Linked DNA regions of Oryctolagus cuniculus. The protein of the gene in region 1 interacts with the protein of each later gene in a biochemical or structural test. Links are inferred from orthologs where the notes say so. Each region holds a gene or a part of one and is shown in the gene's direction. Other genes may lie near its edges.

Region 1 (4,242 bases):
GGCCGCCGGGGGCTAGACCCCTCCTCCCAGAAAGGTCTAGGGGGCGCCCCTGAGGGAGGGTGGTTGCCTAGCAACGGGGCGGTGGCTCGGCGGGTACCCGGCCTAGCGAGCGGGAGAAGCCTCAAGGCCGCAGCCCACCCACCCCGGGCTCCGGAGAGGTTCAGCCCCCGGCCTCCGAGCCCTCTTGGGGCTCCCAGAAGCCGCCTTGGGCCTGTCCCTAGGAAAACGTGGTCTCAGCCGTGGGGGGCCTCAAGCAGGCCTCGACCCCTCTTCCCGACCCGAGAAGAGGCCCAGCGCCTCCCCCTCACCCCGTCTTTGTGCAGGGCGCCGGCGGCCATTGTATCCGGGCGGGGAATGGAGGACCTGGCAATCCCCCACCGCCACGTTCAGGGCCTTTGGGGAATTCAAAGAAAATCAGCGGCGTTTATTGGGGGTCTCCGGCCTTCAGCTTCCCGGAAAGGCCCGGGGGTGGCCTTCCCGGAGTCAGATGGCAGATCGGAGGCAGCTTTCTCCTCCCCGCGTCCCTCATCGAAACCCTGAGCCCCATTGAGAAGTCCCTTCAGGGTTTCGGGAACCTCCCCCAGGGCTGGTACTTAAATAGACCGGAGTGAAGGAGGAAAAAAAAAAAAAGAAAGAAAGAAAAACCTTAAGCCTACAGCAGCCACCTCCGGGAGAGTTCTCCTGGCTCCCAGTAGGAGGCGGAGAGCCAAGGGGCGTGCGAGAGCGAGGGGGCTGGGCTCCCGGGTGGCTAGAGGCCGCGGGCGCGGAGCGGAGCGGAGCGGCGGCCCTGGATCCCGGCAATGGAGGAGCAAGCCAGCAAGCGGGCTGGTTCCTGAGCGTCGCAATTCCTGTGTCGCCTTCTGGGCGCCCAGCCTGCCGGGTCGCATGATCCCTCCGGCCGGAGCTGTTTGTTTCGCCAGCCGCCGCGAAGCCGGCTGAGTTACCGGCATCCCGGCCTGCCGCCACCTCCTCTCCCGACCTATGATACAAAAGATCTTACGGGGGTGCACCTGCCTGCTGTCGCCGGCTTAGACGGAATTGAATGTAGGTGGTGCGGGGGCGGCGGGTGGTGGTGGGGGGACTGCCCATGGGGTGACTTTCCGAGGACAGCGTTTCGGAGAAAAAGGGGTGGCTGGGATAAAAGAGGCCAGTGGGATGATTCAGAGCCCAGTGGTGCTTACAATTTGACTTCATTGAAGTCTCGTGGAACCTAGACCCAGACCTTCATAGGAGCCACAAAGAAACGAGTTTTGGTACCTGGAAGGGGAAGGGGATGTTGCGGGGGGAAATGGCATTTATACTAATTTTTTTTCTTTCCCTAAAGCTCTTTTTCTCCCTTCAGAGCCTTATTTTGGCTTTGGATCACAGAAGAGAATCCCTGAGCAGGTGTTCTGGACAATGGACTGGTTGAGCCCATCCCTATTATAAAAATGTCTCAGAGCAACCGGGAGCTGGTGGTTGACTTTCTCTCCTACAAGCTTTCGCAGAAAGGATACAGCTGGAGTCAGTTTAGCGATGTGGAAGAGAACAGGACTGAGGCCCCGGAAGGGACTGGACCAGAGATGGAGACCCCCAGTGCCATCAATGGCAACCCAGCCTGGCACCCGGCGGACAGCCCCGCGGTGAACGGAGCCACTGGCCACAGCAGCAGTTTGGATGCCCGGGAGGTGATCCCCATGACAGCAGTGAAGCAGGCTCTGAGGGAGGCAGGCGACGAGTTTGAACTGCGGTACCGGCGGGCATTCAGCGACCTGACATCCCAGCTCCACATCACCCCAGGGACAGCATATCAGAGCTTTGAACAAGTAGTGAACGAACTCTTCCGGGATGGGGTGAACTGGGGCCGCATTGTGGCCTTTTTCTCCTTCGGCGGGGCACTGTGCGTGGAAAGCGTGGACAAGGAGATGGAGGTATTGGTGAGTCGGATCGCGGCGTGGATGGCCACTTACCTGAATGATCACCTGGAGCCCTGGATCCAGGAGAACGGCGGCTGGGTAAGAACCACACCCCTCATTTGTCCCTGTGCTTTGGCCTCTGTCAGAGGACCCCCAGCAGCCTTTCCCTGCAGCTTCTGCTAGTTAGATGACTGTTGGAGGCACTGGCCCCATTTCAGCACCAGACCTGGTTCTTTCCATCTGGGCACCCTCATGACCCTGATCTTCCATGCTTATTTTCCAGTTTCTCAGCACAGAATAGCTGAGGTGTTGATCTGTGAGTGGGGGGTTGGTCCAGTGCCCCCCTCACTCTGGAGCAGTGGCTCTCCATGCTTTGAAAGGGTGACAAGCAGAATGTCTGGAGCAGGTGGTGGCGTGCCGGGGACCCACAAGTCGCTGCGTCCTTTCTTCTCCAGGACTGGCCGTCCTGACCTGGGCTTCCTTCCCTTTATTTCAGAGTTTTCTTATGTGGCCAAGCAGGAGTTCCCCCCAGTGGCTTGGTGGGTTCGGAATTGTCCGATTCTAGGTCAGCGTGGGCTGTGCCACTCGTGTTGGTGCTGCACCTCCTGAGTTGGTGCTGCACACAGCTTGCAACTTTCTGCACGGTTGGCCTGTTTGTGGAGCTCTTGCTGTGTCACGCTTTAAGCCCCAGGACTTTGCACCTCACTCGCTGCCTGGGGTGGGGTGAGGAGCTCCAGCTGCTCTGCCTCTGACTGGCCGGCTGGCAAGGCAAGAAGTCAGTCTGTGGGGCTCTGTGGGCCATTGAGATTTGGTGTCAGACTTTGGACGTGAGTGGGAGCGCCAGCCCTCTCTCTTGGCCAGCTGTGTGACCTTGGACAGGCTCTTTACTTTCTTGAGCCTCAGTTTCCTGCACTGGGAAACGTGGCCAGCTCGCCTGGTCTCGCAGAGTCCTGGAAGCCTTGGAGGTGGCGTGAGCAGAGTGAGGGACGCCAGGGAGCTCCCAGTCCAGACAGGGAGGTGTCTCTCTCCGTCCCTGAGTCACGAGGAGGTGGTGGAGGGACCTTTTGCACCAGTGGTCACTGCAGGCGGGGTTGGTCCTGTTTCCTTGCTGGTCTCCCTGCCCAGGGGAGGTGCGGAACACAGGCATTCTGTTCCCTCAGAAAATGCAGAAAATCCACAGGCTGTGGGGAATAAGTCATCCATTGAGGGAGCAGAGGTGGAAGGGCCGCGCACCTGGACTCAGGAATGCCAGGAATGTGATTGTCGTGGGCTGGGCCGGGGCGTGGCCGGCACTCGGTTTTACCGTGGAGCCAAACCTCCTGAGTTTCTCCTGGAACCCCACCCCCTGGCTCGTTTCCCGTTTCTTTGCAACTTCAGCTCATCTCCTCAGCAGGCTCTTGAAAAAGGCTAGGGGGTCAAGTCAGTAGGCGACGGGGTGGGGGTGGGGGTGGGGGTGGGGGTGGGGGTGGTAGAGGCCGGAGGCTCCCTGGAGCTAAGGCTGATAGACTTGAAAAGCCATTCTGTAAATGAACTCCCTGGGGGATAAATGATTAAACAGTTCCTGTTGGGTTTTGTGTGATGACCTCTCCTGGTCCCTCCTGCTTTGATTCTCTTTGGGGGCAAATATTTGTTCAGCTGATTCCAGGATTCCAGTACTACAGACACACCCTCGGAGGCATCTCTGTGGAGGGACGTGGGCCAGTTGCCCACTTTGCCTTGACCACTGTCTCTGGCCAGTGGTCCTAATACCAGGTGAGTTGTGGCCAGCTATAAACAAAAGGCAGGTTGGGAGAGGTGCCTGGTCTGCCAGCCAGTCTGCAGAGGGCCGTCCCAATCAGAGAATTGCCAGCAACCCAGCGTTGCGGGTGAAAAAGGTCTAAAACCCAGCAGGCCTGGGCCCGTCCATTCGCCCGCCACTGGATGGAAATTCCACCTCCCATCGCCTCGTTGAAAAATGTCAGAGCCCGTTGGACAACATACCACACACACACACACAGTCACACTCACACTCACACACACACGTCGCTTCCTCTTAGTGAACACAGAGGACGTGTGTAGAAGAGCGAGTTGTGTCAGAACCATTCCTGGGAGTGTGTTCTTCCCCTGAGACCAGTGGGTGAAGAACATTTGAGTCAGAGCCCTCCGAGCGAGCCGGGAAAGGTGCCACCCTGCTCTGAGCAGCAGTGACTGGCTACTGCAGTAGCAGCTCAGCCTGGAGGCCTCAGCTGAGGGATCCCTGAGCGTAGGAGTTACGGGCCACTCTGCCTGCCGACGGATGTTGTCTAAATTTGGCATCGTCACAGGAAAGGGAAGGAAATTAGCCTTTACGGAGACCCTCCTATGTATT
Region 2 (3,640 bases), on another chromosome or scaffold:
GGTAAGTGCTCTTAGCCTCAGGACTCCTCCTATAGAGGTTGGGGGAAAAGAGGGGACTTTCCCTGCCCAAGCCTGCCTTTGTGATTTCCTTCCCCTAAGTCCCACTGAGCAGCAGGGGCTGCTGAGTGCTGCTGGATGCTAAAGTCCCTGCCTTTTGCTACCCGCACCTGGACAAATGGCCCTGTCCTTTCTGTCCCTTCCTGGAAGGATCCCTTGGATCCAGGTGTCTCTTTTTACATCCTGCACCACTCCCCACCCCCACCCCCACCCCCACCTTTTTGTGTCCTGGTAGGGATTTACTTTGTCCCAAAGAAATCTGTGGGATCCATGACTCGCTGTTGACACTGAAGGGGAAAACCCAGCTGGTTCCAGGAGGGAAGGTTCCTGAAGGCAGAAAGTGGCCCCAGTGGTCACTTGGGACTTTCTGTGCCTGGAAGGGGAACTGGAGAAAGAGGTTGGGCCTGCCTGGGCTCCGTGCCAGCAGAGGGGCTGTGTCCAAGGCAAAGTCAGACAAGACCCCTTCATTTGTGGGCTCGAATGATTTGTTTTAGGGAGAAATATGCCCTCCTCCGGCAAAAGAGCAGCCTGTTCTTAGCACAGCAGCTTACGCGGGAGGGTGGAGGTTTGGGGGTTATCTCGCTGTGTCTGACGGGCCAGGCTGCGGAGACGCTGCAGTTATTCCCAGAGGGAACTGCCCCGTAGGGCGATTCTTGCCAAGCAGTTCTGGCGGCACTCAGAAGCTGGATGACGCCGGCCGGCGGGCGGGCGCGGAGGAGGGCGAGGCGGGGGAGGCGGCCGGCTGGCGCCCCTAGCGGTGGTACTAAGGCCAGCATGCGGTAAGGGTGCAGCTCCGGCCTCGCGGTCTCCGCCCCCCCCCCCCCCCCCCCCCCCGCCACCTCCGAGGCCGCTTCCAGAGAGAAACTTGGATCTGTTTGGGTCTCAGGAGTTTGTGCCACTGCCCACAGGGTCAGAAGCCTCCTCTACAGCTCTCCTCTACTGCGTTGAAAAAGTGAAGACATTTTTCACAGTTCTCTCTGTCCCTGGCTGTGCTCAGCCCGGGAAACTCTGGAGAGCTGCCTGCAGTGCTGTTCCAGGGAAGAGCTTCAACCTGCTACTCTGAGAATAATAAATTGTGGTCAAGTGTAGGTTGATAAATACGGACAGAAGGTTTACATGTTCACCCAGTCTGCCCTTTGCCACTGCCCTGACGGTGAATGGGGAGCCCATTGGACGGCTGTGACTGCTCCCTTCTGTTCCCCCAGCATCAGCTTCTATGCACTTGGGCAGCAGGCAAGCAGGCTGTCCGAGCTTGGCAGAGCTCCCTGGTGGAGGCAAACTGGCTCCTCTCCCTTCCCATACTGGGGTTTACCCTCAGCCCCAAGGCTTGGCCAGGAGAGGCAGGCGTGGAGGGCGGGGCAGGCGAGAAGACCGCTTAGAGCTGGGTCCTTTTTCTTTGCAGGCAATGCTGGCTACCGGCTCCCTCTCCCTGCCAGTTTCCCTGCAAACTTCGCGCTGGGGGAGCAGCCCCCTGAAGGGCAGTGGCAGCATCGAGCAGAGGTCCAGATTGCTCGGAAGCTTCAGTGCATTGCTGACCAGTTCCACCGGCTTCATTTACAGCAAGTAGGCACAGGGCTCTAGGGGGCGGGTAGGGCGCGAGGGGCCTAGGAGCCAGCGCCTGTCTCTGTCCTCCTATCGGCAGCTCTGGCTCTGCTGGGCCTCAAGGGCATGGTGGCAGAGTGTTAGCCTCGGCTGTCATCATCCCCACGGACAGTTTAGGCTGATCAGATGAGCACTGCTGCCCTCATCTCTCTCTGGTCTCCAAGTTGGTTGCCTGCCCATTCCCTCCCTGGGAAGGCGATGGCTCTCTCCTGAAGGCCAGCGCTGGGGGACTGTGTCTCGCAGACCTAAGGAGAGGTTTGCCAGGTGCTGTTGGGGGTGCAAGGGGATGGGGTGAGCCGGCCAGGGGATGGGGCCTGAGCGGGGGAAGGTGGCGGAACCGGTTGAAACCTGACACTTCCCAGCTGGGGAGGCCGCTCCTCACTCACTGTCTGTCTGGGATCCTGGGGCTGGGGCCTCAGGAGAGTGCACCTCCGATAGAGTCTCCCCAGAGCCGCGGCCGGCCGCTTGGCCGGGCGCTCTGCCGCCGCCGGCTGCTTGGCCGGCAGCCTGGCACCAGCCCCGCCAGGGCGGAGCATCGCGTGTCAGCCGAGCATGTGGCAGGGTCGGTCAACAAAGGCGGCGGCTGGCAGGCTCGTGCTGGAGGAGCCCTCCGTGCCACAGCCTGGAGGCTGCCCTGGGCCGCTGCTGCAGCACTGTCTGGGTCCGGCCCCCAGGCACTTAACCCTTTCCTTCCCGGCTGGCTCTCCGTAGGCTACCCTGCAGGGATCAGAGCCTGAGGGTGGATCCCTGCTGGTACAAGCACTGCAGAGGCAGGACCACTCCACCTGGACACGAAGGCACTCCCCATCCCTGGGACAGTGTTCCTGGCCAGTGGGCACTCTGTGTGTGTGTGTGTGTGTCTGGAAATCAAGAGTATAAATAACTCACCATCACCAGGCAGACCCTGAGGTTGCATGGGGGATTTTAGGTGACAGGGGAGTAACAAGTTTGATTTAGGAGCCAAACCATTGCTAGCACCAGGAGGGGGAGAAGAGGCATTGGCCTTGGATTTTCTGAGAGCAAGCCCAGGGGGTTGTGTGGTTCTGCTCGCTGCCGAGCAGCACTGAGGGAAACCTGGGGCTAGCCCTCACTGCGCCCGCCTGGTGGGCCGGCTGGTCCCTCAGTGATCAGGAAGGGAGGGTGGCCCTACACTTACATTATAAGGCAGCCTGGCCGCCTCTTCTGGCCCAAGCTGCAGTCCCTCTTCCCTCCTTTGATTGTTTTGTGGAAACTTGGCTTCGAGTTTCCCCTTCAGCCCTTGTGTGTGGACTCACTCTGATTCTTGGTTTCAGTCTCTTGGCCTCTTTCCTGCCCATTCACTCCACCCTGGTTGTGCAGGCCTGCAGCTGCGTGCGCCTGAGCCCAGCTCCCGGCTTGCAGTCCTGGGACCCACAGTGGCTGTGAGTCTCCTGGGCTCAACGGCAGGACTGTGCATGCAGCTTTCCCCCGCATAGTCTCCCGCTCTCCCTCCGCAGCTGTTTCCTGGAGCGTTCCCCTCCCTAGTCCTTGGTGAGCCCCTGGGGGCTTAGGAGCAGGTGGGAGGCCTCCCTTGGCCTGCCGTGTCCTGGTGTGGGACTGGAACACAGTCCCGGGAGGAGGAGACCCCTGTCCTGCACTTCTCTGCTTGGCGTTATTTCTCCCCATCAGGTCAGTTCCTGACAGGCACCGTCCTCTCTGCCAGAGCCACCCCAGCTCTGCCCTGCACCTCACCCATGCCGGCTCTTGCGTTCCTGGTGCCAGCTCCCTGCGGCTGCCTTGCAGCGGCAGGAGGTCGGCCAGTAAGGCCTTCCTGGCCCAAGGAGCTGGTTTTCCAAAATTTTCTCTGACAAAGAACCAGACTTTTTGTCTACTCCCTGGAGAATTCTCTAGAAAAGACTCTAGCTGTTAACCCACTCCTGCCCCCTAATTCTGCTCACGCATCTTGCGGACAGAGCTAGGGTGAAGGCCGCAGGCAGATGGAGCTACTGGCACGCCTGGGGCC

Evidence for each region.
Region 2: the proteins of BCL2L1 (region 1) and BMF interact in a test that uses a peptide from one of them, tested with the Homo sapiens proteins (2 studies listed by BioGRID). The link is inferred for Oryctolagus cuniculus from reciprocal best matches to the Homo sapiens genes BCL2L1 and BMF.

The regions. Positions count from the first base shown.
Region 1 is NC_091442.1:25,992,968-25,997,209, forward strand, and holds the start of BCL2L1 (bcl-2-like protein 1), read left to right. Parts: upstream 1-1,430; coding exon 1,431-1,994; intron 1,995-4,242. UniProt on the Homo sapiens protein: Potent inhibitor of cell death. Inhibits activation of caspases. Appears to regulate cell death by blocking the voltage-dependent anion channel (VDAC) by binding to it and preventing the release of the caspase activator, CYC1, from the mitochondrial membrane.
Region 2 is NC_091443.1:63,241,678-63,245,317, reverse strand, and holds part of BMF (bcl-2-modifying factor), read left to right. Parts: coding exon 1-1; intron 2-1,459; coding exon 1,460-1,620; intron 1,621-3,640. UniProt on the Homo sapiens protein: May play a role in apoptosis. Isoform 1 seems to be the main initiator.